Oreochromis niloticus: one gene and its partners. The protein of the gene in region 1 interacts with the protein of each later gene in a pairwise test. Links are inferred from orthologs where the notes say so. Each region holds a gene or a part of one and is shown in the gene's direction. Other genes may lie near its edges.

The links.
Region 2: the proteins of tex11 (region 1) and snx7 interact in binary tests that used the Homo sapiens proteins (3 or more experiments, as listed by UniProt). The two-hybrid records come from large-scale screens. The link is inferred for Oreochromis niloticus from reciprocal best matches to the Homo sapiens genes TEX11 and SNX7.
Region 3: the proteins of tex11 (region 1) and necab2 interact in binary tests that used the Homo sapiens proteins (3 or more experiments, as listed by UniProt). The two-hybrid records come from large-scale screens. The link is inferred for Oreochromis niloticus from reciprocal best matches to the Homo sapiens genes TEX11 and NECAB2.
Region 4: the proteins of tex11 (region 1) and mad1l1 interact in a two-hybrid assay, tested with the Homo sapiens proteins (2 studies listed by BioGRID and IntAct). The two-hybrid records come from large-scale screens. The link is inferred for Oreochromis niloticus from reciprocal best matches to the Homo sapiens genes TEX11 and MAD1L1.

What each region holds. Positions count from the first base shown.
Region 1 is NC_031966.2:20,005,706-20,013,052, reverse strand, and holds the start of tex11 (testis-expressed protein 11), read left to right. Parts: upstream 1-4,346; 5' UTR 4,347-4,606; coding exon 4,607-4,634; intron 4,635-4,831; exon of another isoform or gene 4,832-4,974; intron 4,975-5,763; coding exon 5,764-5,876; intron 5,877-6,179; coding exon 6,180-6,264; intron 6,265-6,746; coding exon 6,747-6,826; intron 6,827-6,909; coding exon 6,910-6,990; intron 6,991-7,098; coding exon 7,099-7,218; intron 7,219-7,347. UniProt on the Homo sapiens protein: Regulator of crossing-over during meiosis. Involved in initiation and/or maintenance of chromosome synapsis and formation of crossovers.
Region 2 is NC_031974.2:33,800,808-33,808,459, reverse strand, and holds the start of snx7 (sorting nexin-7), read left to right. Parts: upstream 1-4,634; 5' UTR 4,635-4,930; coding exon 4,931-5,014; intron 5,015-7,652. UniProt on the Homo sapiens protein: Involved in the regulation of endocytosis and in several stages of intracellular trafficking. Together with SNX4, involved in autophagosome assembly by regulating trafficking and recycling of phospholipid scramblase ATG9A.
Region 3 is NC_031972.2:7,361,208-7,369,163, reverse strand, and holds the start of necab2 (N-terminal EF-hand calcium-binding protein 2), read left to right. Parts: upstream 1-4,946; 5' UTR 4,947-5,002; coding exon 5,003-5,329; intron 5,330-7,956. Other genes in the region: hydrocephalus-inducing protein, read left to right, coding at 1,482-1,513, 1,668-1,832, 2,114-2,258, 2,415-2,588, 2,681-2,902, 3,087-3,197. UniProt on the Homo sapiens protein: May act as a signaling scaffold protein that senses intracellular calcium.
Region 4 is NC_031971.2:11,904,225-11,912,118, reverse strand, and holds the start of mad1l1 (mitotic spindle assembly checkpoint protein MAD1), read left to right. Parts: upstream 1-4,875; 5' UTR 4,876-5,031; intron 5,032-5,532; 5' UTR 5,533-5,533; coding exon 5,534-5,677; intron 5,678-5,777; coding exon 5,778-5,918; intron 5,919-5,992; coding exon 5,993-6,172; intron 6,173-6,268; coding exon 6,269-6,393; intron 6,394-6,516; coding exon 6,517-6,598; intron 6,599-7,602; coding exon 7,603-7,733; intron 7,734-7,894. UniProt on the Homo sapiens protein: Component of the spindle-assembly checkpoint that prevents the onset of anaphase until all chromosomes are properly aligned at the metaphase plate.

The sequences.
Region 1 (7,347 bases):
TTAGGATCAATGCATTTGTCTCACCGATGTCTTTTAGCTCCATCTAGTGTTGATTGGGAAAAGCGGCACTTAAGAGAAGGTGAGCCTATTGTAAAATAGCAAAAAGGACATTACTGGGAAAGTCTACATCTATAGCAATATTTGTTTCTCTTAATAGGAAACAAAAATGGTTTAATAAATATATTGATACAACAGATTAAGCGGTTTTGTTGAATTCACACACCAAATGAACACTATTTTCTTTATTCTTAACATTTGCCCTTCCAAGATGAGAGAAGCACCTTTTGTGCAAATGTATTCCATGCTGCTGGTTTAAAAAGTTGCTTTCCTCAGCCCCTGAGTTCTCAAAAGGAGATTTACTCAAGAATCAAAGCAACATAGTTGAAGCTTTGGCAGAGGTTTTCTCGGTAATATGTCAGTTATTGTGTTAGAAGTCTCTAGTCCAGAAATTTAGACAGGCAAAAAGAAATCAGTGCTTGTAAGAAAGCAAGAAATCAAAGCTCAAAAATCAAACTGTCTAGATATTCTCCAGACCCATGTCTAAGGTGGTGTTGAGTCAAATGACCTCATATTGCTGTTGAGTCACCCAGGCTACAGATCACGAATGGAAAAACAAAGAGATGGAGAAATAGTTGCTGAATGTCTGGTCAACTCAATGTGAGAGTGAAGTTTTACATATAACAAGGACAAATCAAATCAAGTTTAAGATCATGTTGTTGGGTGGAGTTGGGCTCTATGGGTGCCTTTGTCCTAGATGTCTTTTGCATTATTTTATCAAGACATCTAGAATAAATCCTGACATATCTTTAGAAACTTGGGTTATCAAATGTTTACGGCATGAATTTCTAGTGACTGATCCACGCTATTTGGAATTAGTAAGGCAAGTTAGTTAGATAACTGTAGAAACTAAGCATCACCTTTTAACAGAAAGTATTATTATTCCTCTGTTTTCTGCTCCCTTAAGAAGTCACCACAGCTGATAATCTCCCTTAATCTCACCCTATCCCTACCATGCTCTTATGCATATCCTTCTTCAGTGCATGCATGAATCTTCCTTGTTGTCCTCTTGTTTCATACTTAACAACCTTTGCACACCTAAACAATCTTGCATTAAACACATAGCCCAGTGGAAAAGAAAGCAACCCCCTCCAGCAACTAAATATGTTCACCTGGCCTTCAAACTCTCCAGCTCATAATCAAGCATCCCTGGGATAAGCTGTAATAACCCTGATCCACACAGACCCCACCCTGCAACACACAGGATCCAATTTCCCATTGCCAGCCACTACAGGACGCCCCCACAATTCCCTTGTTCACACTCCAATGGGTCAGAAGTGTTCTGGCAGCATAAGAGCGGTCCTATGCAATATTTTGCAGATGGTTTTACAGTCATGTTGTGATTTCTTAGTATTCCTGTAGTAACTTCTTGAGCTAAATACAATATACTCCCCTAACAGAGACATATGGAAACTTAGGCCTTCATCTTTTCTTTGATTTGAATTGCGTGCATACACATAAAAATGGGAATATTTCAGCTTTTAGAGAGAAAACATTTACTTCAATGAAGAGCGTAAAATATCTAAGTGAGATGTCAGACTTTCATAATGTCATAGTGCTTTTGCCTACCTTAGTACCTTTGAGTATCAAAAAGGTATCAATAAGGGTGGAAGTTTTATTTGGGAAAATGATGAACCTGTCAGAGAGGCACTTTGTTCTTTACACCTGTAAATGGCAGTAAATATGGGAGTCTTTTTAATCCTATTATTAATTTTTTGTGTGATTTGAAACAGAATCATATTCCAATTTGAAAATTGAAAAAGCCTTACTCGACCTCCTCTTTCTGCTTAGCTCTGATTCCCTCTCTTTTCCTGATACCTGTTGCCAGAAAGAAACCAGAAAGTTTTATGTACTTTGACTTACAACTAGATTTTTGGTTTTACACATAAGATAAATTGTTTTCTAACCATAATATCAGAAGGATTTGGCAAGATAATATTACAGTCGCGTGTCCGTCTATGATACCGATGATATTCTCACTATGATACCTGTATTAACAACCACAAGGAGAGACACCTGTACACTGAAAAACAGAACAGGTCTCTGTTCAGGCATTTAGAATTACTGATAAAAAAGATGGATGTGCTTTTGTGGTAACATTACAACTTACAGTCCAAATACCAATTCACTACTTTTTATTTGTTGCCTGGCGAGCTCTCTTTTTCTGTGTCATCCTGATGTCTATATCTACAACAAATAATAAACCCTTAATTTCCCACACTAGTTACTATAAGTACAGGTATTTCAATCTACTTTCCAAGCATGTGATGACTGGAAAATGTCATTTGGCAATAAATGTAAACAAGTGCGCTAAGCCAGCATTACAAGACTTCTTAGATTTACCAAGAAATAAGGGCTTATACTTTTTTTTCCCTTTATGGCCACAATGCCAACAAAGATTGCTGAACTCTGAGTAAATATTGCAGGAGAACCAAAGAGAGTTATGAGAAAATACTTTGTCAGAAAACCTCAGATAACCTGTGAGTATTATATCAACCACAGACTTTATTTAAGAGCTATTGATGCCGACATGAGATCAATATCAGTTAGTGTTGGCAAAGTTAAAACTTAGAGCACGCCCTGTCAAAACATTTAGTTTTCTACAGAACTCCATTATCTGTAAGCAAACACGTGTCTTACTTTGTTTTGTACACTGCTAGCAATTCAGCTTTGCACTGAGCTGACCTTAAAATGACTGAACAATCAAATTTAATATGACTTTACTGCCTTATTTTATGTTCCCAGAAAGCTAAAGCCCTGCATAGCCTGGATCATCTTGTGCTCCAGTAGATGACCCTTCTCTCAAAAGCCCTTGCTGTTTCTTATTTCTGTTTTAATTATTTTTAAATTGAAACACTACATAAACATAAGCCATATACATAAAACACTACACAACACATACATAGACCAAGGTAGATAAGGGGAAAAAAGACAAATAATTTTCAACAAGCAGGGAGCGTTCTAGTAATCAATACAAATTAATTACAAATTTGCAAAAAATTTAAATAAAATAAAAAAATCAGGTCTATAGAGTGCTACATAGTTGACAAAATGTTCTCAGTATGAAACAAATTGTTCTCATTTATACTTAAGAAATGCTGTTATCATATCCATTTTATAAATGCCCATTGTTTTTTCCAGCCTACAACCTTGGGGATCTCCCATAAGTACTTCCTCATCCATTCTGTAAGTATGTACCCAAAATATGCTAACTTTTATGCTAACTAACTTTTCGTAGAAGATATTTAGCTGCTGGAGGGGGTTGCTTTCTTTTGCACAGGGCTATGTGTTTAATACAAGATCTTTTCAAATTCCTATTACCAACCTCTGAGTTATATGCTTTTCTAAACAGTCCTATTAAATAGTGACTTCCACTCACTTTAAACATTTCAAAACGGTGCAGTTTTCCTTCTTTTATTATATTGTATAGAAATCAGAATCATATGCACACAATAAAATCACAACTCAAGGATTTGATAATATAAATGTCTTGCTCTAGTTTATGTTCTTTTATAACACTTTTATGTACCTTAAGAGTCAATTTCACCTAATATTTATATAACCTTGTAAATTGTTATATGATACAATTGGCTGTATGGGAATGGGAGGTATTTTCTTTTTAGTGTTTTTCCATGTGTATTTTATGATGGGCTACACTACTACAAAACAATAATCTCTAAAAGAAGGTAGTCCCAATCTCCCCATTGCAAGTTTTGAGATGAACTGTGGGTCTTGTAGGACCTTGCCCCTTCTAATTCTCTAGCAAATAACTTTCTATAGAAGATGGGGATAAAACAGTAACCAACAGAAACTCTCTTTACTACGGAAGCGTAGAGCTGCCACCCAGGCAAAAGAAAAATAGAAGTATATCACGTTATAACGTGAAAAGTTTATTGTTCTAACAAGATACTTTTCATGTTTGTACAATATACTATCATGTTTGTACAATATACTTTTGACGTTTGAACAATATAATATCACGTTATTACAATATGCATAATTATCACGTTCGTACAATATAAATATCACGTTCGTACAATATAAATATCACGTTCGTACAATATAAATATATTGTACGAACAATATAAATATATTGTACGAACGTGATATTTATGCATATTGTAATAACGTGATATTATATTGTTCAAACGTCAAAAGTATATTGTACAAACATGATAGTATATTGTACAAACATGAAAAGTATCTTGTTAGAACAATAAACTTTTCACGCTATAACGTGATATACTTCTTTTTTTCTTTTGCCTGGGTGGCAGCTCTACGCTTCCGTACTTTACCCCTTTGTTTAATGGTATTTGATTTTTGTCACACCTGCAATTATTATCAAGCTAGTATTAGGAACAGTTTAAGGTAGGCAGAATAATTCCCTCTATTGGAGTAATAGCTCTTTTATATTGCTGTTGTTTTGATATCCTCGCTCTCTTTTTCGCGGGCATTTTTGATAGCCGTCAATCAAATGCCAACATTTCAGTGAGGCGCTAGCTGCTAGCACCTAGCCTGACTGATATTTTTATTCCACAAAAAGTTAAACATGGAGGAACTTACCTCAACTGTGAAAAGTGAGTAACTGACTCGTTCTCTTGACCCACCTATTTATTTATTAAAGTGCTTTTACCAACTGGAGCTGTAGCTTAGTTGTTAATTTAGCTTCCAACCTAGCTAATTCACTAACTGTTAGGTTGCGTCTATTATCTGGATGCACAATAGCTAATAACAGTTTTGTGCCTCTGGTATATTAGCTAAATGTTACTCAAGCCATGGAAGTAATAGTTATTTTTCTAAAAGACAAAGGGAACTAAACAGGCAAAGTCTGAAAATCCCAAAAGCTGTATTATTAAAACTTACTGCTGTTGTGACTGCAGCAAGAAAAAGTTAGCCAGCAGGCTGCCATCTACATTTGTATGTACAAATCTACACCTGGGTAACAATTTGAAACTTTTAAAGCAGTTTTTAATGGAGAGTAAATTCTCTTTATTCAATGGGTAAAAAGGGTACTTGAAGACCTTATGTGTATTTCAAACAGGGTCTTAGAATTTTTAAAGAAACTGCTGTGTTATAGACTTTTTATAAATTTTGTCCAGCCTGTGAAATGCCTGATAATGCAAATGATTAGAGGCATAAAATTGGGGTTCATGTTATCCACTAAATTGCTCATGTTATCTTGGTCACCAGCCACAGTGAATTATTGTTATATTTTACATTATTATAACAAGCTAGCCCCCTAACTTGAAGCTAATATGTAAATGAATACTTTTTTAAAAAAAAATTGCAACTAATTAACCTGATTTGGGATGTATGACTCATATTTCATTTTAGATTATATTCTACCTAGATGAACAATCATTAATAAATGGCTTAATATTTCAGTGCTAATAGCCTAACATTAAGACACAAGAGAATATCTGAATTATTTTTGAAATGAGAAAGGACATCAATGTAGTCAAACTGGATTTTGAGACAGATTTTTAACTTATACAAAAGAATAAGAAAGTGGGGTGCTCTCCATGTCACACACATTATTGTCTTGCACAAACAGTATCTGGTTTTCTTTATAGTGTAGAAAATTCGGATATTCTTATTGCATGAAAAATCAGATGTCACTTTCCACTTCAGAAGACAACGTGTCCTCTGTTACCCTGTTTGTATCCTGTCAACGTCTGTCTTTGTTGACTTTTTTTTAATACACAGGTCTCACTGAGCTCCTGCTGCAAAAGCAGCTAACAGATTATGATGAAGTGATAGAGAAGCTCTTCTCTGAAGTCCCTGGACTTGAGGCTATGCCCAAAATACCAGATCCGCAGGTAGACAAAAACATGTCAGCTTGTTTAACTATACGCCACAAGTCAGTAGTGATGTAAAGTTATAGTATAACAATAAAAACAAAAAATAAAATAAAATGGAGAATTAACAAAATAGTTATGGAAGAAATTTTTTACACCGCTAATATTCTTGTTTAATAGAGCTGAATTAATCTGACCTACTACAAGTTATATGACTGCTGCAACGGTTCCATGAAGTTTAAAGACTGCAATTTAATGTAATATTGTTAATACTCATATGCAAGAAGCTGGCATAATTTTATTTTTTTGTTGTCTTGTTTACAGCTGGAGGAGTGTGCCATCAAGCTGTGGAACTGGGGAGTTACTAAGAATGTGGGTGTCACAATAAGTACAATTCAAAAAGCCCAAGGTAAATTTGTATTTGTATTGTTCCACCCCTCATTTTTTGTATTTTGCTAGGAAAATACGAAATAGATACAGAAATGCATTTAAACATGCAAATGTGCATGGAAATATATAAGACAAAAACAGTCTGTACTATTCTAACAAGTTTCAAAGTTAATATTTGGTATGAGCACCTTTATTGTTCAACCCATCGTAAATTTTAAAGGTTTCTTGTAATTTCTTTAAGTAGTCTTAAGGAATAGTTCTCCAGGCTTCTTGAAGGAGATTCAAAGCTCTTCTTTGGAAGTTGGCTGCCTTTTTTCAGTTCTCTGTCAAGATGATCCCACTTTGATCTCATTTTGACTTTAATAATATTGAGGTCTGGACTCTGAGCAGGCCAGTCCAAGACTGATAGTGTTCCACTGTGCATTTTTCTATGCTTTACTGCAGTGGCAGTATTTTGGGATCTTCTCTCCTCACATTCAAATAATCTTACTATGCTTACAGTGCGTCATGTTGCATGCAGTCTGTTGTACTGCTGTGAGCCTGAGAACCCAACAGAGGGCACCATTCGCAAGCAGATTCTGGTAAGCAGTACTGAAGGCAGCCTCTGTGAGTGCCCAATGTTTCTGGAGGACAAGGCATGTTTGTCAGTGTCTAATCTTTACAGATGGCCAGCAAAACAGGGAGAACCTGGCTGGACTGCAAAAATCCCCAGATGGCAGATAAATACTTAAGCCTTGCTGTCAAGGTGAAGAAGAAAATAACACTCATACTGATAGTCTCTTAATTCTGTGTAGGTTTGAAGCAAAGACAAATACCATGTTTTTAGAAATGACTCAAAATCTAATATCCCCAGAGCCTTGAAATCCTCTATAGCCAACTGATGTCCAGAGGCAATGGCACAGCTGACATCAGTTCATCCAAGGAGGATGTGGAGAAGGATCTACTTCGAATTCTCTCATACCAAGCAGAATCGGTGAGCTGTGGCGCATGTGATGTTCGACACCTTCGATGTGAATATTTGTTCTTGTGATATTTGGCAGCTTAGGAAGTGCCATTCTGACAGACTTGCAGTGTGAAGTGTGAGACAGCTAAAATGTGAACT
Region 2 (7,652 bases), on another chromosome or scaffold:
TGTCTTCCTGCACATTCCTGGCGTCATGGTAACATGAAGCCAGCATTCTTTATTTGAATACAATATCAGCAGTAACACTGTAAAAATGCCCAAGTGCTTCAAATAAAATACAAATAATCTGAAGTATATTTATTCGTAATGGAAGAAGGAACAAAGAATTTCTTTGTAGTGAAGCAAAACTGTGAGTTTAAAACAATGAAAACTTTCTAGTGAACTCCACTGCAATCAACCTATTTTGCATATACACAGCATCATCATTGTGGTGTGCAGTGTTGGATCTGGGATTAAAGCACTCAGCGTACGTCTTCAGCTTCTGTGTTGGTCGAATACCTCTGGATACCTTCTCTACTTTTAATATTAGGCTGCAAGCTTTACATTTCAATAAAGCTCATAGTTGGTGCTGGATCAGGTAAAACTGTCATCACTCATTGCTGGCTCTTTGGTTCATTGATCCAGTTCAACACAGGGCTGTGCGTGGCTTTCCATTTACTTCTCCATCTGCTCAGAAAGCTGGTAGATCACAACCAGGAAGTGTGAGCAACTATGATGAGGTTGAAGAGTGGAGATGACACACCTGTGGATGGAGATGCCTATGAGAGAGAGCGATGGACTGTTTAACTCATGCATGGAGAGAGTTTGCACAGGTGTTCCCCTGCCAGTAGGAGGTTCTCTAACATGGATGGGTGGGAGTAGATTGCCTGTGGCCCACTTCCCCCAGTAGATCATGCTCTCGTCCCATTGATTGCACTCGCTAGCTCCCTTCTTGTGAAGGCCACATGCCCGAGCAGAGACTCTAAGGTTATGGATTCCCTGCTGGCTAGGCTACACAGGGCCATGTCAACTCCCTCCCCCTTGACTTTTCTTCGGTCCAAGCCAGCCAGCCCTCTTCCCTCTCTGCCTTGCAGTGCAAGGCAGCTTGGTCTGCTCTGGGGCCAGAGCCTTGGTTTTAATTTACCATGACCCAGGGCGACCACCTGCAGTTTCTCCGCAGACCCTGCCGTCATGACCATCCCAAACTTTACGATCCAGCATCGACCAGAGCTCAGCCACTCTCCCCAGTAGTTCCCCAGACGAGGCTGATCAGCAGCAGGTGTGTGCCATCATCCTCCTCTGGTGTGACCGGCCTCCCAGCGGAACACACTCACCTGCGAGGACCGCTAGCCCAAGGCAAACCCATCAAAAATATTCAAGTTCATAAACACTCATGAACCCTGGGTCACCAGACCCAGGCCCATGACACTCGGCTCTCCGGGGGAAATGTGCAATATGGGAGGTGGATGCTGGGGACCACCAAGCTGGGCTCTTCTCACACTATCTTTTGGTTCCCAAGAAGGATGCAGGACTGGGGACTCTGCCTGATTTTGGATCTCAGGGGCCTCAACCACTATCTTCAGGGGGCACTGTTGATTCCTAAGGTTCGGGTTTGAGGGGAAGTTGTTTGAGTTCCGAGTCCTCCCCTTCTGCATCTGTCTTGCACCCCGGACCTTTACACGGTGCATGGATGCCGTCCTTGCTCCTATAAGGCTGAGAGGCTTGAGGGTCCTGAACTACTTTTCGCAATTCACAGCCCCCAGTTTCCCTTTGGGACTTGGACCTGGTCCTCAGCACCCTCATCCTCCTTTTAAGCTGCTGGAGGACGCTGAACTGAAATAGCTCTCCCTCAAATAGCCATTTTGCTGGCTATAACCTCTGCCAGAAGGATTATTGAACTCCATGCTCTGTCAGTCCACAGGGATTGCTGCAGGTGGTTGTCGGACGGGAAAGGGGTGGTCCTCCAGCCCAACCCTGCATTCCTACTGAAGGCCCTGTCTGAATTCCACCTGTTCCATTCAGGTGAGCTTCAAACAGCTCCCACTGAGAGGTTGGCCCAGGAGGCAGCACAGCACCAGGCTGCCTTGTGCTCTGGCCATGCTTTGGCAGTGTAGTCAGTACCCGGCCGTCCATTCAGGGATCCTGGGCTGACAGCTGTCTAGGGCCTGGTTGTCCCACTAGATCGTGGATGCCATTTGGGAGACATATGCCTCTTCGGGGTCTCCCTTCCCTTCTGGAGTGCGGGCCCACTCTACCCGGAGGGGTGGCCACATAGTGGGCCTCAGCCATTTGTGCGGTGGCAACATGGTCATCTGCATCAGACTTCCCTAGGTTTAACAAGCCAGGCCCTCTGTCGGGGAGCAGGTCCTGCCTCTTAGTGGTAGGTGTATAAGGGATCATTTGTGCCAAAAGCAGTCAGTATACTAAATAATGAGATGCTGTGACATATATTGTTATATTGAAGTTTAATTGTTGTATTAAAGTTTTGTATATTAAAACTTATATTTCATTGTGTTATTTATTATATATATTTATGTTATTTGTGTTGGTTGGTATGAAGTAACTTGATTGCTTTATGACTTAGTGAATTGAAGACAATTTTCCATTGATGTGAATAACAAAGTTATTCTATTCTAGTCCTCTAGTCAGGGCTGCTATGAAGGATGGTTTGGAGATGGTGGCTCTGACAGAAAGACAGGAGGCCAGCTGACAATGTTCATGTCTTCATGGGGTTTAAGCAGCATGGACATGACTAGTGTAAAGAACACACGGCAGACCTGTCCACACATTCATGCTATTCAGCATCTTGCTTTTATTCACTGGTTGCTGTTCACACGTGGCTGCGGCTTCCCAGTCACCAGCCAAACATACACACCAACAGCAACAATTCTCAGGACCCAGTACAGATTTTAAAGCCGGCAAGGTGTGATTGCAGATTCCGCACTGGTGCGTCCGCCTCCCTCGCAGCGGCACCTCAGACCACGCCCCGCCACAACTAGAAATGAATACAAGAGCTGAGGCTGAGTGCTTTGGAGACAAAGTTAGAGAGGCAAGGCTGAGGTGGTTTGGACATGTGCAGGGGACGGACAGTGGGTATGTTGGACAAAGGATGATGAAAATGGTTCTGCCAGGCAGGAGGAAAAGAGGAAAACCTCAGAGAGGTTCATGGATCTAGTGAAGACATGCAGAGGGTTGGTGTAAAACAGAAGAAGATGGTATAGAATGAGATGTGGGGACTACTAAAGGGAGCAGCTGAAAGAAGTGGTCACAGATAACAGATGACTCTGGCTCTTCCTGTAGAGTGCTATTGTGTCTCTACACAGACTCCAGGGATGGACACGGTTCTGGTCCTCTTCTTGCCCACAGCCCAGTTAGTCTTTACCAGGGTAACCTGCAGATGCTTCTGCTTGTATCACGTAACAGAGTAGACTGCAGCAGTCCTGCAGAAAGGTGATATTTGGATATTGTGGTCAGTTTTTCTGTACCCTTAAATTGTGTAGCGAAAGTAGACAGTAAAGGGGAAAATCGAATCACAAAGAAAAAAAAAAATTGCAGAGAAACTTATTTTTCATTGGGAATAAATGAAGATTCTCTCACATTCAAAAGGAAAAAAACAACTCTTTGTGCATGAGTTCCTTTTCTTCTTTCAGGCACAGCGTTTGCTGTAAAGTGTAGGGAAGGTGACTGCGTGAGCGTGCAGTGGTGGTCCAGCCTGAGGTGTGACACACTGTTGCACAGCCTATGCAACACTGACATCTTTTGGTGCTGGTGGGGCTGACTGTCAGTGCAGCCTGTGTGCCAGCCACACTCCCCTAAATAAACACACAGTTTGCCCGTTTGTTGACAAGATTGCAGGTAAGAGAAAGTCCGCTCAGACAAATATGCAGGAAATACAACTGTGTTCTGGGTGTAGTGGGGTGGCTGAAAATCAAATAAATTTTCACTGGTTCCTAAACACTGGATCCATAGTTCATAGATGACATATCATAGTTAAAGGCAGGCACGGGAATATCAGGAGGAGTGGGGGGTCTAACAGTATATCAGAGCTCACAACCTTTCTTCAACAGAATGATGACTTGAAATACATTTTGAAGCTAAGGCTTCTATATTGTTACTTATGTAGAGTCATGGATGCAGAATTTACAGTAGTAATTGTTCTTTCATAAACTGTATAAGATTCATATGTGTATGCACTTCAAAATAAATCTTTAAAAATGTTTAAAAATCCATGTGAATGAAAATATAAATGGTATGAAAGTGTAAAAAAGGCTAAATGCACAGAGACACATAAGCAAAGAAGACGTCATACAAATCAGGAGGCAAAGAGAAAACCACACTCTCTCTCTCTGGAAGACACGTGACAGCCCTGAACTTTATTATCATTATCATTATTATTATTACTATTATTATTATCACTTTATACAAATTGTCTTGTTTACCCATTCATACAAGCCATCAAAGAAGAACTCGGGGTTAGTATCTTGCCCAGGGATATTTGGCATGCAGACTGGAGCAGTCAGGGATCAAACAAACAGGTTGCTGTCAGTATTTTTCTTTCCTAGTTTTAAATTTGAGTTCACTGGAATAAATAAGAATAAAAGGCTAAAACGATACTGCAGTGTTGCAAAACTAACTTGAATCAAACACATTATGGGACAACGTTTTTATGCTTTGACTTTGTTGGATCTGTTAAGCTTAACATTTAATAATACATGATAAATAGCACATATGTTATCATAATAGGAAAAACAAACTTTAAAACAAACAAACAGAAAATATAAAATGAAAAGAAAAATTAAAATGACTTAAAAATAAAAACACAGAACTCCAGTGGTCCTGTTCAGACACGTTTCTGGCTTTCCTTGTGATATGAGGCAACACATGTACACTCAGCATTTTGGCCGAAAAACACGAACTCTAGCCAACACTCAACTTTACTGTGAACAACAAAGACGCATAACGAGAACACAGCTTCCGGGCCAAGTCAAACGTGACTGATCGCAGCTTTTACTTTGAAATCCGTTACAGGAAGTGGCATCCTCGGCGGGCCTCTGAGTGCGGCTGCTGTGTGGAGTTGAGGTGGAAGTTTGTGTTTAGTAAGTCTCCGGAGCTGAGAGCGATGAGCGGGCACACGGTCCCTGCAGACTTCTCAGAACACATGCTGGACCTGGACGAGGACGAGGACCTGGAGGTTTTCACCAAGGTAACTCCCACAGCCGCGGGACTGCGCTTCCAACCGCTGCTCAAGTTTACTCTTTCCGAAGATTCACCGCGCACACTCACACATACACTCGTCGGGTCGAGGGGCAGCTCTTCGGTGCGTGTTTGCGCAGGCGCAAGAGCTGAGGAACTCGAGCTTGAAACATAAAAGATGAAAGGTGCGGCTGCTGAAAGTTTCCACTGTCATGTTGTCATCAGGTTAAAGAGTAACAGACCTGTGGAGCCGGCTTTACGCGACTGAAGAAAACTTTTTTGATACTTCTCTCAAAATGTCGAGTTAGAATCTCAGACTTGACAGATAATAACTAAAAACACAGAAACTATCTTGAAATTTAGATTTAGAAGTCGAAGCTTTCAGATAGCTTCACTTGGCTCTGTCTGTGTGGAAGCCTGCGAGTTCACTTCATTCATGCGTGCAGACTTCCGTGCTCAGTCATGTGACGATCACTCTCTAAAAGTGTGTGATCGTCCACGGCGACACATAAAGTGCGCTCACTGTTAAAAATTCACTTGCATGATTGGAGGAAATCTCAGGTCCAGGGAAGCAGCAGGTTCCATCTTCACTTACAGTCTGTGTACGCTCAGCAGTCACGTGATCGAGGCCTCCCAGGTGTGTGTTTTCTGACGATCAGCTGAGGTTTTAAGATTTAGTGCTGCTGTGTGATGACTGCATCATGTTATTCTCACAGCCATGAGAGTCTGAGCGGCAAGTCTGAAAGAAGTTCTATAATAACTCTTAGTTATTGTGTTTGCAGCTCTCTGTTTGTAGATTTCATTTCAAATAAGCTTGAAGCAAGATGTGTGTGGCGGTCTGTGCTCAGGTGGTCTGTGCTCAGGTGGTCTGTGCTCAGGTGGTCTGTGCTCAGGTGGTCTGTGCTCAGGTGGTCTGTGCTCAGGTAAACAGGGCTGTTGTGTAGTTGTGATGAAATCCATAGTAATAGTAGAACTCACTGCAGCTGTGCTGTGACAGTGATAGTGCTGTGCAGACAACAGTCTGTACTCGAACCTCGATTCATTGTACTAACCAGGCTCCAAAACAGTGAGACACTGTGTAATCTGTAAATAAAAACCACATTTGAACATCTCATACATCCACAGTTTATTCACAAGAAAACATAAACAACATAACAGATGTTTAAACTGGGAAATTTTTTCTCAGGGCCCAGGGGCGGATCTAGGGGGGTGTTTTGCATATGACAGTGTTGTTTATTGAAATAAGATAGCATTAACACTTTGAGCCTAGCGACAGTTAACACTGAATATATTACATAGTGTTCCCCCCATCATTAACAAATGGTTCAGCCCACAGCGCAGACCTGCTTTATTTCTTGTTGTCAGTAGCAACCGATGCCTATGATTGTGCCAGAGCACATTTTGAATCAACACCATGGGCATCTCAGATTTCACACAGGTGGTTGGTTGTTGCACTGTGGAATGAAGGTGAGAGTTATTAACTTTCAGCCCGTGTTGAAAGTTCGGACTTCAAAGTAAACATCGGTTTTTAAATTTTAATGACAGGCCACTAAATCCAGAGTTATGGTTAAAAAAAATATATAAGCGATGCTTTCTGAATGCTATCGTCACGTTTGTGTGGGAAGAAACGCTAAAAAAGGCATTTTCTAAGGATGGCACGAAAACAGTAAAGAAAGGAAAAAAGACACCTCTTTCCTATTGGTGGAAAAATGTACCATGTCGACCAATTTAAAAAAAAAAAAAAAATGGCAACGCGTGGGATTTGGTTTTTTAGGAAGAGGGGAAAGTTTTGGGAGTGACGGCAGCGAGACAGAACGAGAGAGCGAGTTTTTAGATGTGATAGATTTGTGATGTTTAGTGTGGAGTGTGTAGTTAGTGTGTTGTGTAGTCACTGTTTTGTTTGTGTGTCAGTGAGAGTACTAATGAATGTCACAAAGGCAGACTGCAGTGTAAACACTGTCTCCAGGTGGAAAACTGGAGCAGTGATGCACCTGCTGCTGTCAGGCCTGCAGGTTCATCCCTGTGGTGTCTCCTCTGTGTTTTGTTATTATTATTTCTTTTACTGGCACAAATAATTTGTGGGACATCTTATTGTGACACCTGATTGTTCTCTCATTTAAGTTATAGTAGAATTTTTAAATGGTTAGGGGTTAGGGTAAGCCCTGCCAGATGTATTGGCTGCATTTTTAGATATGTTTAAAAAAATTGTTCATAAGTTTTCAACATTGACAATTTAGATTTGCTTTTCAATTTATTAAAATAAGTTACTAAACATGTCTGTGGTTTTTACAGTGAAAAAAACTATAACTACTTCTCGGATTTTATGTTTTTTGTGTGATTTCAGATGAGTTGTGTTACTACAGTATGTCAATGAAAAAAGTGTAAATACAGACACGTGAGGTTGAGCTGAAGAGAATGAGATCAAACAAAGCGAAGCAAAAAAGATAAAATGAAACAATTTGAAGGTGAAATACAAATGTAAAATCAAAACTGGCTGGGTATATTTTGGACCTCAGAGGGTGAACCCAACAAATTATGAAAATTTAGGCTTAATTTTTGTTCACGGTGCAGATTTCTGACATTTTGTGTAAATTAAGCAACAATTTGATTATTTCTAACAAACAAAGTGTGAAACTTAAGTTAAACTA
Region 3 (7,956 bases), on another chromosome or scaffold:
TTAAATACAGATACTGTAATCATGTAGTCAAAAGTCTAATCGGGAGTACGTTTTCACAGAGTTTCACAAAGTTTCATACACTTCCTTTAAAACAGAAAGAGAAAAGTTCAAACGAATTCTGAATATTGACAGTACTACTATAACAAAGTAGGACTTGCTATAAATGCCATATGCTATATTATAAGCAAGAATGATTAATGTTAGCTCTGTATATCATATAGTCTTAATTTATTTCATGTAAAACTACCAGGATGTCAAAGCCCAGCCAGAAGAGAGGTACTTTGGAGCTGTAGTCCAACGCTGCCATTCAGGAAGAAGAATGCTATGATGAATACTGGTGACGCTGGTGCCCAGTAAGATTAGACAGCAGTGACAAACACATCTTCACTCAGAAACATCAATATTGTGTTACTGCAGTTATCAGAATGCTTCACATATTATAGCTGCAGTTATTCTGCCTGTTTGCTTTTTTTCTTTAACAGGTTTAAGTGGAAAACAGAGGATTTTCCTGCAGTTATTCATCATGCCAGCTAATGGATATATCTATCCAGGAGTGGAGGTTCCCTTTCCAAGCGACTTTTGCCTCTGTGGAGCTGAGTAATGGCACAAAATATGAGAATCTTAGTTGCCTTGTGGAGGGTTCTTCTTCGCCTGTCACCCTCACTGTCACTGGCTCCTGCATCATGGCCTACACTAGCAAAGAGGTTTGACTCTGTTTTCTTCACCATTCTGCACTGTAATTGTGCCAAAGGGAAAAGGACAGTGTTGAGTAATATGAGAAAAACAATAACATATATGCTGTTTTGAGTTGATGATGATTTTAAGCTTTTTACAGTCAACAAAGCTAAAAGATTAGTTATCTGGGTATTGATTTTGAGGCTTTTCCAGAGGGAATAAAATCTAAAAGGTGCCTTGTCAGCACTGTGACTCCTTGACTCATTGTAGGAATGGTTAGAGGCCAGCATCAGGTAATGAAAGACATTGATTTGGCTCATTTGGAACAGGCAGCAGCTGCTGACAGATTTAAGGATTTGTAAAAACTATTAGTCAGTTTCAATTAGCTGAGTACTTCTGAGAAAATGCTTTAGGAAATTTCTCATGTTATGTTATCTTGAGAATGAGTTACAGATAATTTAATTTTATCATAAATGCAAAGATTCATTTCTGTGTTTGGGATAAAACCCTATGCTTGATCAGATTTCTCTTGCTGACAACATCCAATGTAGCAAGATGATATAATGACCTTGAAAGTATAACCTTTGTAACATTGATCAAGTAATTGTTGTCACCCTGTCTCTGTGTCCAGGTGGTGAGCTCTGTGTGTCCAGTTCGTGGCTCCCACACACAGACCCTGTCTGTCCTCAGCCCCACAATCCAGTGTTGCACCATCAAACCTGTCATTGAGGGCAAGCATTGGAGTTCTCCACTCTTTGTGACCTTCAAGCCGCGCCAGAACTGCATTCCCAATAACCTCCCGATCTATGACCGTGACTGCTCCTGGAAAAAACACCAGGTAGAAGAGCCACCATCTAAATACAATCTATTATTTATTTGAAAAACTGGGTATATTTAATACTTTTTAATATTGAAAAGGTTACAGATAATAAAACTATCTATGTAACTATAACAATTTAATTAATCTCTGTTTATCCTTTCTCTTGCCTCAGGGATCTGCCTTTTTTTGCCTTTCCCGATGGGACAGGTGTGCTGTACACCTTGCAGGGAGCTGCTGATCCTCCTGTGGCAGGGGACACTCTTGTGCATGAGCTACCTGCTAAAACTCTCCACACACTGTTGCTCCCTGTGCACAACTGGCTCTCTAGGCAACAAAGGTAAACACTTAGTCGGGAACTATATACACTTGAGCTGCTCTTAAGTGATATGTCTCTCCTTAGCAGCTAAATCACCAACTAGTTTCAACTGTGTTGTCTAAACTGAGATGACACAAAATTTTACATTTTGAAATTTTCTACTAGAAAGTAAGAAGTAAAGTGTAGGAAATGATCCCAGTTAAGCAAAGCTTTTTTTGTGCTAATATGGAAATCTATAGTTCCTGGCAAATTATGCAACAGATGTATAACAGAGCAATGAGTGTACTCATCTGTGTTGTCAGGTTCCTTGTGTGTCTAGAGACAGTGAAGCCTGACAAGCCAGATGCTACAGTGTCCCTCAAGGAAATCAAGTTTATTGATGTCCCTGCCCATGCTAAGAGGGACTACGAGTGTTTTGTTTTGTTTTGTTTTTTACATACACAGAGGGTAACACCACGGTTTACTCAAGCATACACATCCAGACTTGGATGACTATTTTTTTTTTTAGCCTTGTTCTCACATCATCCTTTTATCTTTATCCTTGGGTGACATTCATTAATGATGAGACAGGCGAGTATTTGTTCTACCTCGTTATCTTCAAAGGCAACATCTCCAGGAGTCCTGTCCACCATCAAGCTGGGGACACCTGTTCGTCAGGTGGCCTCGGCCACTATTCAAGTAGAGAACCCTCTGACCCAGACAGCCTGCCTCACTAAGGAGTGTAAATGTCTTGGCATCATCGTCCAACCTCAGCACAGTGTGCCAGGACAGTCCAAGGTAGATAATGAGTACATCTGCCATCACATTAAAAAAACTGTGTGGCCACAGACAGACTCTTGCTGGCATATGTGTGTGTCTTTTCTTTACAGGTTTTTTTGACTGTTCATTACATGCCTCTTCATCCAGGCGAGTCTACTGCCCGTCTAACTTTGTTCAGCAATGAGCTGGGCCACTTCCACTACGATCTGCTTCTCAGAGCTCTGCCCCCACCACCAGAGAAATCTGTGGACAATACTTTGCTGGGCAGCAGCCACTCTGTCACTGTAATGTTTAACAACTACTCACGCTTCAAAACCGAGTACTGCTGCAAGGTAAAAAGTGGCAAAACAAATAGCCCTTTCTTTCCTTTTTGTACATTTATTCTAGCAACAGTACTTTACATGTGGTCAGTGTCAGCATTCATCACCGAGGCTTCCTTCTCATCTGCTCTCTATAATTCGTCAACACAAAAAGTTGATTTACTTGCAAACACCTTGTGTTATCTCTGTCCTCCAGACTGACCGTCCGGCCTTTATTGTAGACAAGAATGTCAGCACATTACCAGGTTTCCCTTCGGGCTCAAAGGCCAGCATGGAGGTCCGTTTCAAGCCTTATCAGCTGGGGTAAATAAGAGGCCAGCTAAGCCTGTCTTCAGTAATTGGTGGTGAATACATCTTTCCCCTACTCAAACCTCAAGGCCCGTTCAGCATCAAAGCCGGTGGGAACGTCATTATCCTCTTCAAGAATGTGTTCCTGCAGACCACCACTTTCTCTCTTCTGGTAAAGAGCAAGTAGAATTTACAAAAGTCGGCACTATAAGACAATCAGAACAAAGAGTGAAAGTTAAAAATGTCTTATCAACATAGCTGACAATGATTACAACATTCTAAAACAAACACCCTGCAGGCAGCCAATACTCTTATTAAAAATAGGGATGCTTTACTAAGGCTCATTTCCTTTAAATATTTGCACTGGGTTCATTGCCAGCCAACACGGAGCAAGATGATTTAAATTTAGCCTGGAACAGATTGCAGTGTGCAGAGTGGTGCAACCTGGCTTATGTTTAGACAAATTGTACTCCTGCTTGTATTAAACGCAGCTTTCACATCTTCAGCATCTATAAAATGTTTCTATTCAATTTATGTTTCATTTAAACATGTCTCTTATTCAGATTTGACGTAACTTGAACCCTGCTCATGTCTAGGTTGACAACTCCCATTTTACTGTCAATGGAGGGGGCAACATTCAATCCAAAGAGACCCCGAAAATCCTGGTGTCATTTGAGGTTCCTTCAGACGGCTCTCCAGGACCATGGTTAGGCAGCTAGATCATCTCCAGTCGGCACTCCGAAGGCCACAGGAGGCCATACTCACGCGTCTATTATCTGAAGGGTCTTCAGTTATCTTAGAGACATGTGCAGACACAGAGAGATTGACTATAGATGTAAACATGAATGCACTTAAGAAATTAGGCCTTCATTGCTGGATGTTCGTATGTTTCAGTTGCATGTTTTGTTATTTTTCTGTAGCCTGTTAGCCATTTAATTGCCAAAATGTTCAAGCCAGAATGTGTTGTGTATTTGTGTGATTTAAATAAGTGGCTGTCACGAATCTGTTGGTAAATATTTAATAATGAACTCAATACATCCTGCATATAAGACTTGCCCAGGCACGTCACTGCACATGTTTTACCACATGGGGGCAATCGTGTCAAGTGATTGACCCTTTCTTATGTTCCAGCGATGGGGCAAGATGTATAACACGCCTGACTTTACTTCCTTGTGGTAATCGCGATAACCTGTTTGTTAACTTTGCATCGTGACTGAATTCATCCAGAATGCTCTGCGTGCTGTTAAACACATGGTACATTACGGGGAAGACAACAGTACAGCGGAAAGGGCAAAGCTGGGGGAGTCGCTCATTACCAAAGGTTAGAGCTCTCACATAACACTGATCCTCTAATGACTCCTTTTTACTCCATGTGGAAAATCCTCTGATCCACCCATTGCCACACATGACTGCTGGCCCACACCTCCTGTTGTCACTGTGGAAGGAATAAACTGTGCCACGGTCTCCAGTCAGATTCGGATAGTTCAAAGTGATCTGCAACTTTGCTATTTTACAACACCATGAAAAAATAGTCATGTGTTTTTACACTGTAGTAAGAAAAGTATTAGCACTGAAGGCGAGACATTTTAGCACTTAGAAATATGAAAGCGTTGATAACAACACTGAAATAAAAAGTGCAATAAACTCACTTAAATCTCCAAAGCTGTTAAATATCTGCCTACAAGCACGTATGGGTAGATAGGGCTCTGTAGGGTGGGTGGGTGTGATTTGGGGTGGGTGCTGTGATGTAAGAGGGGAGCTGGGGTGGGGGTGGGGGTTCTCTCTCCCCCATAGAGCGCAGCATGAGCGCTCCGCAGCAAAAGGATGTGTGAGCAGGCAGCGCGCTACTGTAGGGACGGAGTCCACAAACTGCTGAACAAAGAACAAGCCAAACTTCGAGCCCAAGAAAGCCGCGAGCAGCCGAAACCCGTAGCCGGTCAGGACAGCGAGTCCGCAACGGCAGCGCAGTCCGGAAACAGCGGCGCCCAGCCCGGTGGAATCGACGGGCTCGTCCGCTGGATCGTCACCAAAATGAGCGACAACAAGAACATCTCCAGCCGGGAGTACGCCTCCAGTAAGGAGGAGGTGGCCGTGGCTCAGGAGCAGTTCTTCGCTCCGGAACCGCGGAGAGGCATCTCCGTTATTTTGGATGTGAGTATAGAAATGCACCGGGTTGGCAGGTGCAGGGCGGGTGGGTGCTCGGGATGAAGACATCCAGTGAACAGCGCGTACGGACCGGTGCAGTGCGCACTTACGCGCAGATACTCGTGGCTTGGTAGAGTAGGCGGAAGATTTGACACTTTGGTGATGAATGTGGAAGCCCGGGAGCAGCCTCAACGCGCTGAGCTCAGTTTCCATATCTTTTCTGAATGACCCATCCAAAAGATTCACTGTACTTTTATTGCATCTTATTAAGCAATATTCTCTTATGCGTCTTTGTTCACTTCTTCATCACCAATAAAAGTCACGCATTTATAGTCGAGAGGCAGCTTTACTTTTACTCCTGGCTTTACTGTCAGTCCAACGTGCAGTAGCTACGCTCACACCAATTTTATGACTGCTATTTAATTATTCATGAGAAGGTCTTACTACCATATTGTTATTGATCCATTCCTTACAGCCACTGCTTAGTATTCTCACTCCCGATGTAATGTCTTTCTGTTATCAGACAGCTGATAACGGAGCAGCCTTCCTGCATTAAAAGTGGCACTTAGCGCAGTGCTGATTTGGGTCAACTCATCAATACTATTGGGTTACTTTTCATCTTGGCCGCTCTAAATGTTTCCCCAGGAGATCTGCTGATGCTGCTTTATTAGGGTAAAAAACAAAAGAGAAAGTAGTTCAGCTTCTGCAAAATCTGACCCAGACCTAAATAATCTGATAGGGTGGTAAAGAAGGGGGTCCATGGAAAACTAATTATGATCAAAACCACTGCACCAATGTATCCTAGTACCCTAGTAAACTCATTCTGTCTGTGTTTGTGTGTAAAGGATGTTGTAAGGGGTGTAGCCTAGTTTGCTGCGTCGTTGAGCCAAGCAACTGTCCGCTAAGACAGATGTTACAGTAAAAGTGTTTGTAAGTGAACAAGCAAACAAAAAAACTGTGCTGCACTCATATCTATATTTGAGGAGAGGTTCGTTGTCATTGTATATGCATGTATGTGTTCATATTTTCATTTTCTGATTAAAGGTCCTGGATTGCTTCATTTTTTGTGGTGTTTTTTCACCCTCTCACTCCCTGTTAGAAATCTGCCATACTCTCTCAGAGTGGCTGACTTCCTGATATCAGCTGTGAACTCATTCTGGTATTTTCTCTTGAGCCCTCTGCAACGTCTTCAACTTTGAAATGTTAATCGTTTCTTCATTTTCCAATATTATTGACTCCAGCGTTATTATTGTGGTGAACAAGTCGAGACCAAAGAGGTTTGAGTGATTGCTCTGCACGTGCGCATGTGCCCGCGGGCAGCGCTTCCCTCATTAGATCCTCAGCCTGCTTGTTTTTCCTTTACTGTTCAAGTCTTCGCCTGCATCATAACCCCACTGTACCTTTCTCGCTATTCATTAAATTCCTTTCATCCTTTGTCTCTTCCTTTTCCTTCCCTTCTCTCCTCACCTAATTTCCTCCATATCCTTTTTGCCCTCCCCCCTGCCCAGAAACATACATTCTTAATAAGGTTAGAGATGGATGCAACACTCTCCTCTGCCTCTGTCTTCTTTTTCTATTTTGCCGGATCTTCTCTCCTCTGCTGTCGCTCGTTTTCTTCTCACTCTGTGTTTCTGTTACGATTCTTTACAAAAACACACACACACACACGCGCACGCACACACCGCCTCTTCATCGCAACACTTTGCCTCCTCTCCAGGCTTGTTTGTTTCCAGTAGCTCCAGAGTTGGCTCTTTTCTGTTGAGTTGAGTGCACCCCAGGGTGCAGCCGGAAAGCAGAACAATGCAGAGCAGCTTGTCATTTGGAACGCCACTCGTCTCAGCAGTTAATGATTTTCTCTTTGGCCTGTTGAGATGGCTGCAGTTGCTGTGTGAATGCACCACTTATTTAGAGTTTAACATGCCTCCTGCTCATAAGTGCAAGAATCTATATATCAGTTTGTGCACTAAAAAGTGCGACCTTTCCTCAAGTTTTCAAATTGCATTCATGATTATTGACCACACTATTTAGATTACTTTGAAATTAAGGCTGCAACTAACTGTAAATTCATTATTTGTTCTGTTATGTCTACAAATCATTTAATGGATTGATTAGCATTTGTATATTTCTAACTAATGTAAGCAAATATGCTAAATATGATAAGGAAAAGCCTAAAATCCTCACATTATGGCACCAGGAAACAGAACGGCTGTCATTTTTTGCTTCAAAAAATAGCCAGACCATGAAGAAATCAAAATGGTTGCTCATCCATTTTAATACATTCCGATTTAAACAGTGAAATTTTTCTTTTGACATTTACACAAAGCGTTATTGAGGAAAGTATGAAGTAAGTCTAGAACTTTCCTGGCAGTTGCAAAGGTTATTGCAGAAGACCATTTATAAATATTTCTGCAGTTCTGTTCTCAAATGTGGTTAAAATAAATATGTCTACTTCACACATTCAAATGCCATCCACATAATCTGTGGTGTAAATTAAGATTAAACATGGCCAAAATTTCAAATCATGAGGTCAGATTATGGGCAACTAATCACTGTAATCCAAAAGCCAGGCTTCAGATCTCCCTGAAAACTCAGTTTCTTCTACTCCCGGGTCCATATGATATCAGTGAGAGCTT
Region 4 (7,894 bases), on another chromosome or scaffold:
ACACTCGTTCATATCTTTCATTGTCATTAACTGCAAAGCTGTAAAAGCTGACATTGCTGCCAATCGGGTAACAACGCAAGAAAGAGATTTTTCTCGGTGTCAGCTTCCTAACCTTTTGCGGTTTGCATGACATTGAACTATTTGTGTATGTTTTGATGTTTAGCTGTGGGTAGAAAAAACACCCCACTGAATGTGAAACGGCTTCCTGTGAACTCCTATCACATTTCTCAACAGATGGCAACGAAGGGCACATCTGCGGGCACTTCTGCTGATTTACATCGTACGCCGTGTGTGTGTGTCCGTGCGCGCGTGCACGAGTCTGAATTTGTGCATTTGCGTCATCTCGCAGGGAAGACTGCATCCACGGGTCGACCGCGGCAGGACCGAGGCAGGTGGAGGTGGATGCTGAGGACGGCGACCGAATACCCAAGAGAGACAGGGAGGGACTGAGTCAGAGTATGACAGATAAAAAAAGACAGTGAGGAGGGAGGGGAGGGGGAGAAAAAAAAGGTGTTCTCACCCGGTGAGAGAGGGGAGATTGTAGGACCAAGAAAGGAAGGGATGAGGGAGGAAGGGAAGGAGGGAGCTGGGAGAGACAGTGGACCAAAACAGGCTGAATTCTCTTGGGGGGTGAAAGGATGAAAAGGAAAGAGACAGTGACAGAGAGAAAGGGGAGCTCTTATGTCACTCTGAAGAGGAATTGTCTTCTGTTTGACCTTTTCAGACAAATTCACACCCTTTCATTCAATCCCTCTTGAATCTCACCCACATAGAAAAAAATAGAAAATCAAAAAATCCCTCCGTGGACCCTCCTCTCTTTTATTTCATGTTTTCCAGCTCTTTTCTCACATAAATATCGACTGGGCACCGGGCCTCACCTCTTGTGCTCCTACTCTGCTCTCAGCCTTGTGATGGAGAGGTGATTTTGTAATTACAGCTTATTCTTTTGTCAGTAGATGACAGCATAGGCGAATGTAAAGATATAAAAGTCATTATTCTCTTGTGCGTCCATCGTGGCTTGTTCCAACCATCTGTGAGCTGCTTGTCTGCGTCGTTTTCATCCATGTATTCTGAAACTACAGAGATCAGCACTCTCAAGGTCTTGCCTGTGTTTTGCTGTAGATATTCTTACATAAATCCCCCAAGGTCTCACTTCCTTTACTTCACTCATGAAGGGCATGAATGCAGGCCAGTCGTAAAGAATTCCTTGACCGTGACCTCAGACGGCACAAGCAGAACTGGAGTTGATGCTCAGCTGCTATGCCGTGACTGTCAAGTGCAGAGGTTGATTTTTCCACATGGGAATAAATGAAGTATTAATGAAGATGCAAACTGGATGCACAAGAATGAGCATCACCGTTGTTTGGATCAGAAGGATCATTCAAGGCGACTTATGGTGATTTAATTAAACATGGATTAAAATGCTTTTAGCCCTGACATTGTGGCACAAATGGTTGTAATTCACATCGTCCGGGGCACTGCTGCCATCTGTAAAGCTGTGTCATTAGTGCCTCCCTGTGAGTGATACACCTTATGCTAGAGAAAAAAAAGCATCATTTCCATATCAGCGTGCTATGTAAGTACAATATCAAGATCTACCCACATTTGTGTGAGTTCTAGTAATGCAAAGCCAATCACAGCTTATTATTTGTACAAAGACGAGGCTTTACACCGAGGCAGACCTCTGTGTCCACCAAAAGACCATGCTTTGTAAAATATAAACTGATAAATATAGCAGTGCTGCCCTCTGTTGGACCAACTATGCCAGTAAGGCCCCACAAATCCAAGCACATACATGTGCTGGGCTAATGGGATACAAAAGTAAATACACTATATCATTTTTTGGTCATTTCTAACAAAAGAACAGTAATGCCATGTAAATCATTATAAGCATATTTATAAACCTGGTTTTAAGTGGTCAGTGTTTTGCTCATTCTAGCCAAATTCTTTAGTCTATAAATTAGGCTGAATCTACAAAAACCCAATAATGCAATGCTGTGCTTTATTTTTGAGGCATGAAATAACATGATTGGCACTGATGCATTGTTTCAGGTCTGTTATTTACCCGCTGATTAATTAGGTAAATGTAAAAGAGTAACACATGGAATGTTTATCAGCTATTTTCTGGCCTGTTGATAAGGATGAGGAGGATTATTGCCTTTTAAAAAGTGACTATCGAGAGAGCCTGAAGCGGTTCATTTTGACTTCACAGCCAGAAAATGTCCAAAAATGAGGTGATTTTTTAAAAAATACTAAATGACAGATTTTAAAGTCTGTGATGTCACTGCAGAGAACAAAAGCATTAATTAGGTCCAACAACATGAGTGAGATTCGAGAAATAAATATCACTAGAGTGACTAAGAATAAATTCACAGAGAATAGATCTTTGAAGGAAGCTTTAGTGTCCAAATCAGAACAGGTCATAAAGTGTTCACTTCCATCTGAAGTCGACAGCTGTGCAGCCTGCTCTGGGGCAGGATGATTTAATGGAGGAGTACGAGTACCTGGGCGTCCACACTGACATAGGCTGAAATGCAAGCCTAACACAGAGAAAGTGCACAAGTAGGGGCTCTTTTTCATAAAGAAGCTGAGATCCTTCAATATGTTCAGCAAAATCAGTCAGCTGTGGCGAGCACAGTGCACTTTGCTGTGGTCTGCAAGGGAAGCTGGTGACACCAACAGACTGTATAAACTGATTAGGGAGGATAGCTCTGTGATTGGATGCAAACTGGACACTTTTGAAGCTGTGGTGGTGAGGAGGTCACTAAACAAACTGTGTTCAACATGCATAATGCATGCACCCTGTGCACCACTTATTGGACAGGTAGCAAAGGACCTTCTCTAGCAGGCTGATTCAGCCCTGCTGCTAAGAAAAGATTTAGGAACTCTTTCATACCGCATGCTGTCACCAGTAATACATCATGTGTGTCTGGTACAGAGTCATCTGAATAATAATGCATACTATTCATTTTAATATTGTATATAATATTATATATATATATATTCAATTCTTGTCATTATTTTTTGTCACCTGGCTGCAATGCTGTCTCTTAGCTTCCAGGACCACAGCACTCCTGGAAAAGATGCGAGTGGATACCAACTAATTAATTGTCCCTGGAAGATGTATGGCACAGCAGACCAGTGAAAAAAGCACATCATATCCACAGACTGTGACCTGCCCACAGCAGCACCCTCTTCAGCAACCAGAGGGAGCAGCCTGACACTGAAGAAAGAGGTGTTTTTACAGTCAAGATAAACAAGTTTCAGCAGGAAGAATGAAAACACAGATTTATGCACATTACAAAACATTTTTAATAACTTTATCAAAGTGAAATATTTTCAGAAGCAACTGTATGACTTACCCTTTTACATATTTATAACAATTTTAATGGTTTGATGTTGAAGTATATAAAATGATTCTATCTGAATTAATTTTGCTCATTTTGCAAGATCCTCTTTTCTCACTGATGATGGACCTTTGTAAACGGTGAGTGTCACATTTATTGAGTCCTTTTTCAGAATCAGCTTTGTGGAGATATGCTTGGATGAGTGCCTATATTTCAGTAATGTTTTAAAATGGCTAGATATGAACATTGGCTCACCGTGTACAGTTTTGGCTTTTTTTTAAATGGGTTATGAAACTGAATAAAAACAGAACAGAAAAGAATTTGGGAGCTGTTAAAGTAAAAAAGAAGAGAACAACTTTAATATACATCATCGTAGTGTGATTCAGAGTGTTATAGCCCAGAGTGAATGTGGTTTACATCACTGTTTATCTGATCAATCAATCACCACTTTAGTTATGTTTCTTGAAATGAATTGAACTCAACTGAATTAATGCAGGAAATCACCACAGGATTTGGGACGCTGGTAGATAGCAAAACAGCAAAGTGGCTATTCACACTAAATTTTGAAGAACAATAATTTAATGGAATAAAATGAGTACATGGAACACAGTTTAAATTAAACTACTATCATTCTCACACAACCTGAGGATCTGGAGGCATTCAAGAATTTGTAACAGGGTGGACACAATTCGACCAGGGGGCAGTAGTCCCCTAGTTTGAGCCAAGTCTCAGTGAAACAGAAAATGTCTAACATGTGAGAGGTGATGGAATCGTTAGGAACAAATGATTTATTGGACAAAGATCTGCTGTTAAAAAGGGTGATAATTGCAGGAGAGTGAGGTTTCAGACACATAGGCTAACAGGACACAATAATGATCGGGATCAATAAAATGACTCACAAGGCTGGAACCATCATTGGCCATAATTTGGAGTCAGTGAGGGACAGGAGGTCACTGAACAACTTGTCTCTATCATGGAAAACCCACCACACCCACTCTGCTCACATTTCTGACATAGCCAAGCTCCTCCTTCACCAGACTGACCCAAAACCCTGTCACCAGATAACAATGCTTCAGGAAATTATTCCTACCGATCTCTGTAAAACTGCAAAATAACTTTTATTTATGTGATAGCTGAACACAGTAGTCCCAAACATATTACATAGTGTATAGTGTACATATTTATTAATGCAATTTGCACTAAGATTATTATTAAACCTGGGTTTACAAATATGGTAAAGTGGAGGTGGTTGACCTCTAAGGGTAGTAGTGGTATAACAGAGGTTGTGCAAATGGTAAAATTCTATCTAATAGTAATAGTAAGAAAACAGCTCTACCCGAATGGTGCCGGAGTTAACAGGCTTTTCCGAGCATAATTGTATTTATTATTAGAAAACCAGAAATCAGAGGGGAAAAACAAACAATAAACAAACTAACAAAGAAACACGGGGTTTTAATTAAACAGTGCACGATTTATTCGTTTTCCCTATAAAAACAAACAAAAAAAGTTTGCTTTTGATACTCGCGATGGTACCAAATCTCGCGATACTACGTGCATCCCATTCGAGCTAAACTGGAGGGATTTCTGTAGTATTTAGTGAGCAGCTAACACGTTAGCAACACCGAGATAACCTATTTGCAAATAACTCGCTCCTTAAAAATAAAGAAACCAAGCCGGCTCAGAGGTGAGGACGTATTCTTACAAGCGATACCCATTTGTTTGCTACTTAAACGTAGCGTAGGGGGAATAGCTGTAGAAAACAGTCATGGTAAACTGAACTCTTGTCTAGCCTGTGGTGATACAGGAGTGAAGCAGTTTAAACTGTTCTTAACAAACCAGTGAATACCTTCTTGAGATAATTCTTGATAATTGCCAAATATGGCAACTAACGTAAACATTAGCTTTTGGTTAAGCTACTAAAGTTGTTTTCGTGTTTGTGCAGCTGAGCAAAGAAGCTAATACCACTTTTATCTTACTTTGCACTTTTACGTAGTTAATGCTAGGCACCTGTCTGCATATAACATTAACCTGTTAACATTTTTATCGTAAAGTTATAAAGCATGAAAATGGTGCACTTTAGAATTACTTAGCTAAACTTTACATGGCCGTTGTGAAGTCTTTTTTTTTTTTTTTTTTTTTTTTTACTCGTACTGTGAGCCTTTCGTTTGTGTGCTGCATCTTCCAGAATGGATTTAGAAGACGACACGACCATTTTAACAACCCTGAAGTCCTTCAATTCCTTCATCAGCCGCCCCGAACATCCACAGCGGCTGTCAGAGCACTCAGCAGGGAGTGGAATCCTGCAGAGTCAGTACAAGCGCAGCATGGAGGTACATACAGAAACTGTTTGCATCAACAGGGGGCAAAAAAGCTGAACAAAAATAGCATCAGCATTCAGCCTCCGCACTTACTAGCATATCCTTCTTTTAGCTTTTAGAAGCAGCAGAGAGGGTTCACTCCAAGAATCGCTACCTGCAGTTGGACCAGGAAAAGAAACAGATGGAGCTGAGTCACAAACGGGCTCGTTTTGAACTGGAGAAGGCAGCCTCAGACAGCGCACGAGACTTGGAGGTACATGCCATATATACTCCTTTAATACCACATGAACAAAGCATCAGATAGCTCACCACCTTGTTATGTTGCAGCATGAGGTGGATCGGAACCAGGAGCTTTTGGGACAAATAAAAAAGCTGGAGGAGAGAGCGGAGGAGGCGAATAAGAAGCTAACAGAGCAGAAGGAAGCAAATGATGCTCTCCAGATGAACCTGGAGGGTCTAAACAAGACACTGGAGGAACGAGATGATAAGCTTGGCGCAGCTAACCAGGTGCACGCATGCTTGTAGATTTGCACGCACAGTTATTTTGCCAGTCTGGTAGTGCCTCTTATCTTATGCTGGATTACCTCTGTTATCGGTTTGCAGACCATCAGCTCTTTGAAGGATGAGATCAGAGAGCTCAGGCAGAAGATTCAAAACCAAGACTCAAAAATCTCTGGTCAAACGCTCGAAAACCAGGAGTTACAGGAAAAGCTAGATTTGCAACAAAGGTACACACACACACAGACAGGGACTGACACTTCTTTGCTCTTTTTCATGCTAAAAAATATTGAGCTGTACTGCTTAATATAAATGCTGACCATGCAGTTTTCTCTGATTGCTGTTATGATCAGGAAGTATCAGGAAGTCTCTCAACTTTGCCAGAGTCTCCAAGCTGCGCAGTCGTCATGCTCTGAGCACATAATCAAGATTAAGGTACGAAATGCTGTCGCTTCTATTGGGCTCCTTGGGTTTCACTTCAGAGTTTACATGGTGTACGGATTTGTCTGTAGTTCAGAACATTCCAGTGTCCACAGTTCATGGAGAGGAAATAGTTGAAATAGTTAAGAATAGCAGTTTGTACATCTTTGCACTGATGTAGATGGTGTGGTTAAACAGCGTTATGCAGCTCACTCTACGTCAAATGTAAACCTACTAAATATGATTACGATTTAGACTTATAACCAATGCAGGCAAGATCATGTGCAGTATATCTGTTCAATTTTCTACATATCAGCTTTTTTGTTCAAACTACCTCTCTCCTTCAAATTGCATAATATCAGTTTAAATGTATTTTTTCCCCTCATAACATACACTTATTGAACATACCATTTTCAGCACCTTCAGAACAGCCTTAATTTTTCAGAGCATAGATTCAACAAGGTGTTGGAAACATGCCTCACAGATTTTTGTTCATATTGACATGATGGCATCACACAGTTGCTGCAGATTTGTCTGTCTGTTGGACTGAGGTCTGGGGGCTGTGGAGTACACTGTCATGTTCAAGAAACCAGTTTGAGATGATTTGGAGTCTTGTGACATGTCATATTATCTTGCTGGAAGAAGCCATCAGAGGTTGGGTACACTGTGTTCATAAAGAGACAGACATGGTCAGCTACAATCCTCAGGTAGGGTGTAGGTTTAAATGATGCTTAGTTGGTCCTAAAGCCCCTTTTCCATTAGTATTCACTCGGATCAGCTCGACATCGATCAGGCAACATTTTTCTAATCTTCTGTTGTCCAATTTTGGACAATAAAAGATTGCTGAGTCGTTGCCACGTGATTGGCTGATTAGATATTTACATTAATACAGGTGTAGGTGTGTGTGTGTGTGTGTGTGTGTGTGTGTGTGTGTGTGTATTACAGGTATTTGTTTCCATAAAGTGAATACAATCTGAAAATTGTATTACTGGTGAATTTCTCACTTTCTAATTTGGCAGGAGTTGGAAAGGCGGCTTGCGTTCCAGGAGCAAGACTTTGCCATTGTGAAGACTATAAAGTCAGAGGCGGCCAGAGTTCCAGATCTGGAAAAGGAGCTGAAGCGCCTCAAAGATGATAATGCCTACCTCAGGTTAAATACATTTTTGAAGTTTCCTTAACATGTAAACTCATTACACTCTAGTGCAGGGACCTTTCAATCCACAAGTTCCAATTCACACACATATACCACAAGCTCTTTTCTTTAACAAGTGTTTTTGGTATTTGTAATATGTGTTTGTGCCTGTATCGTCT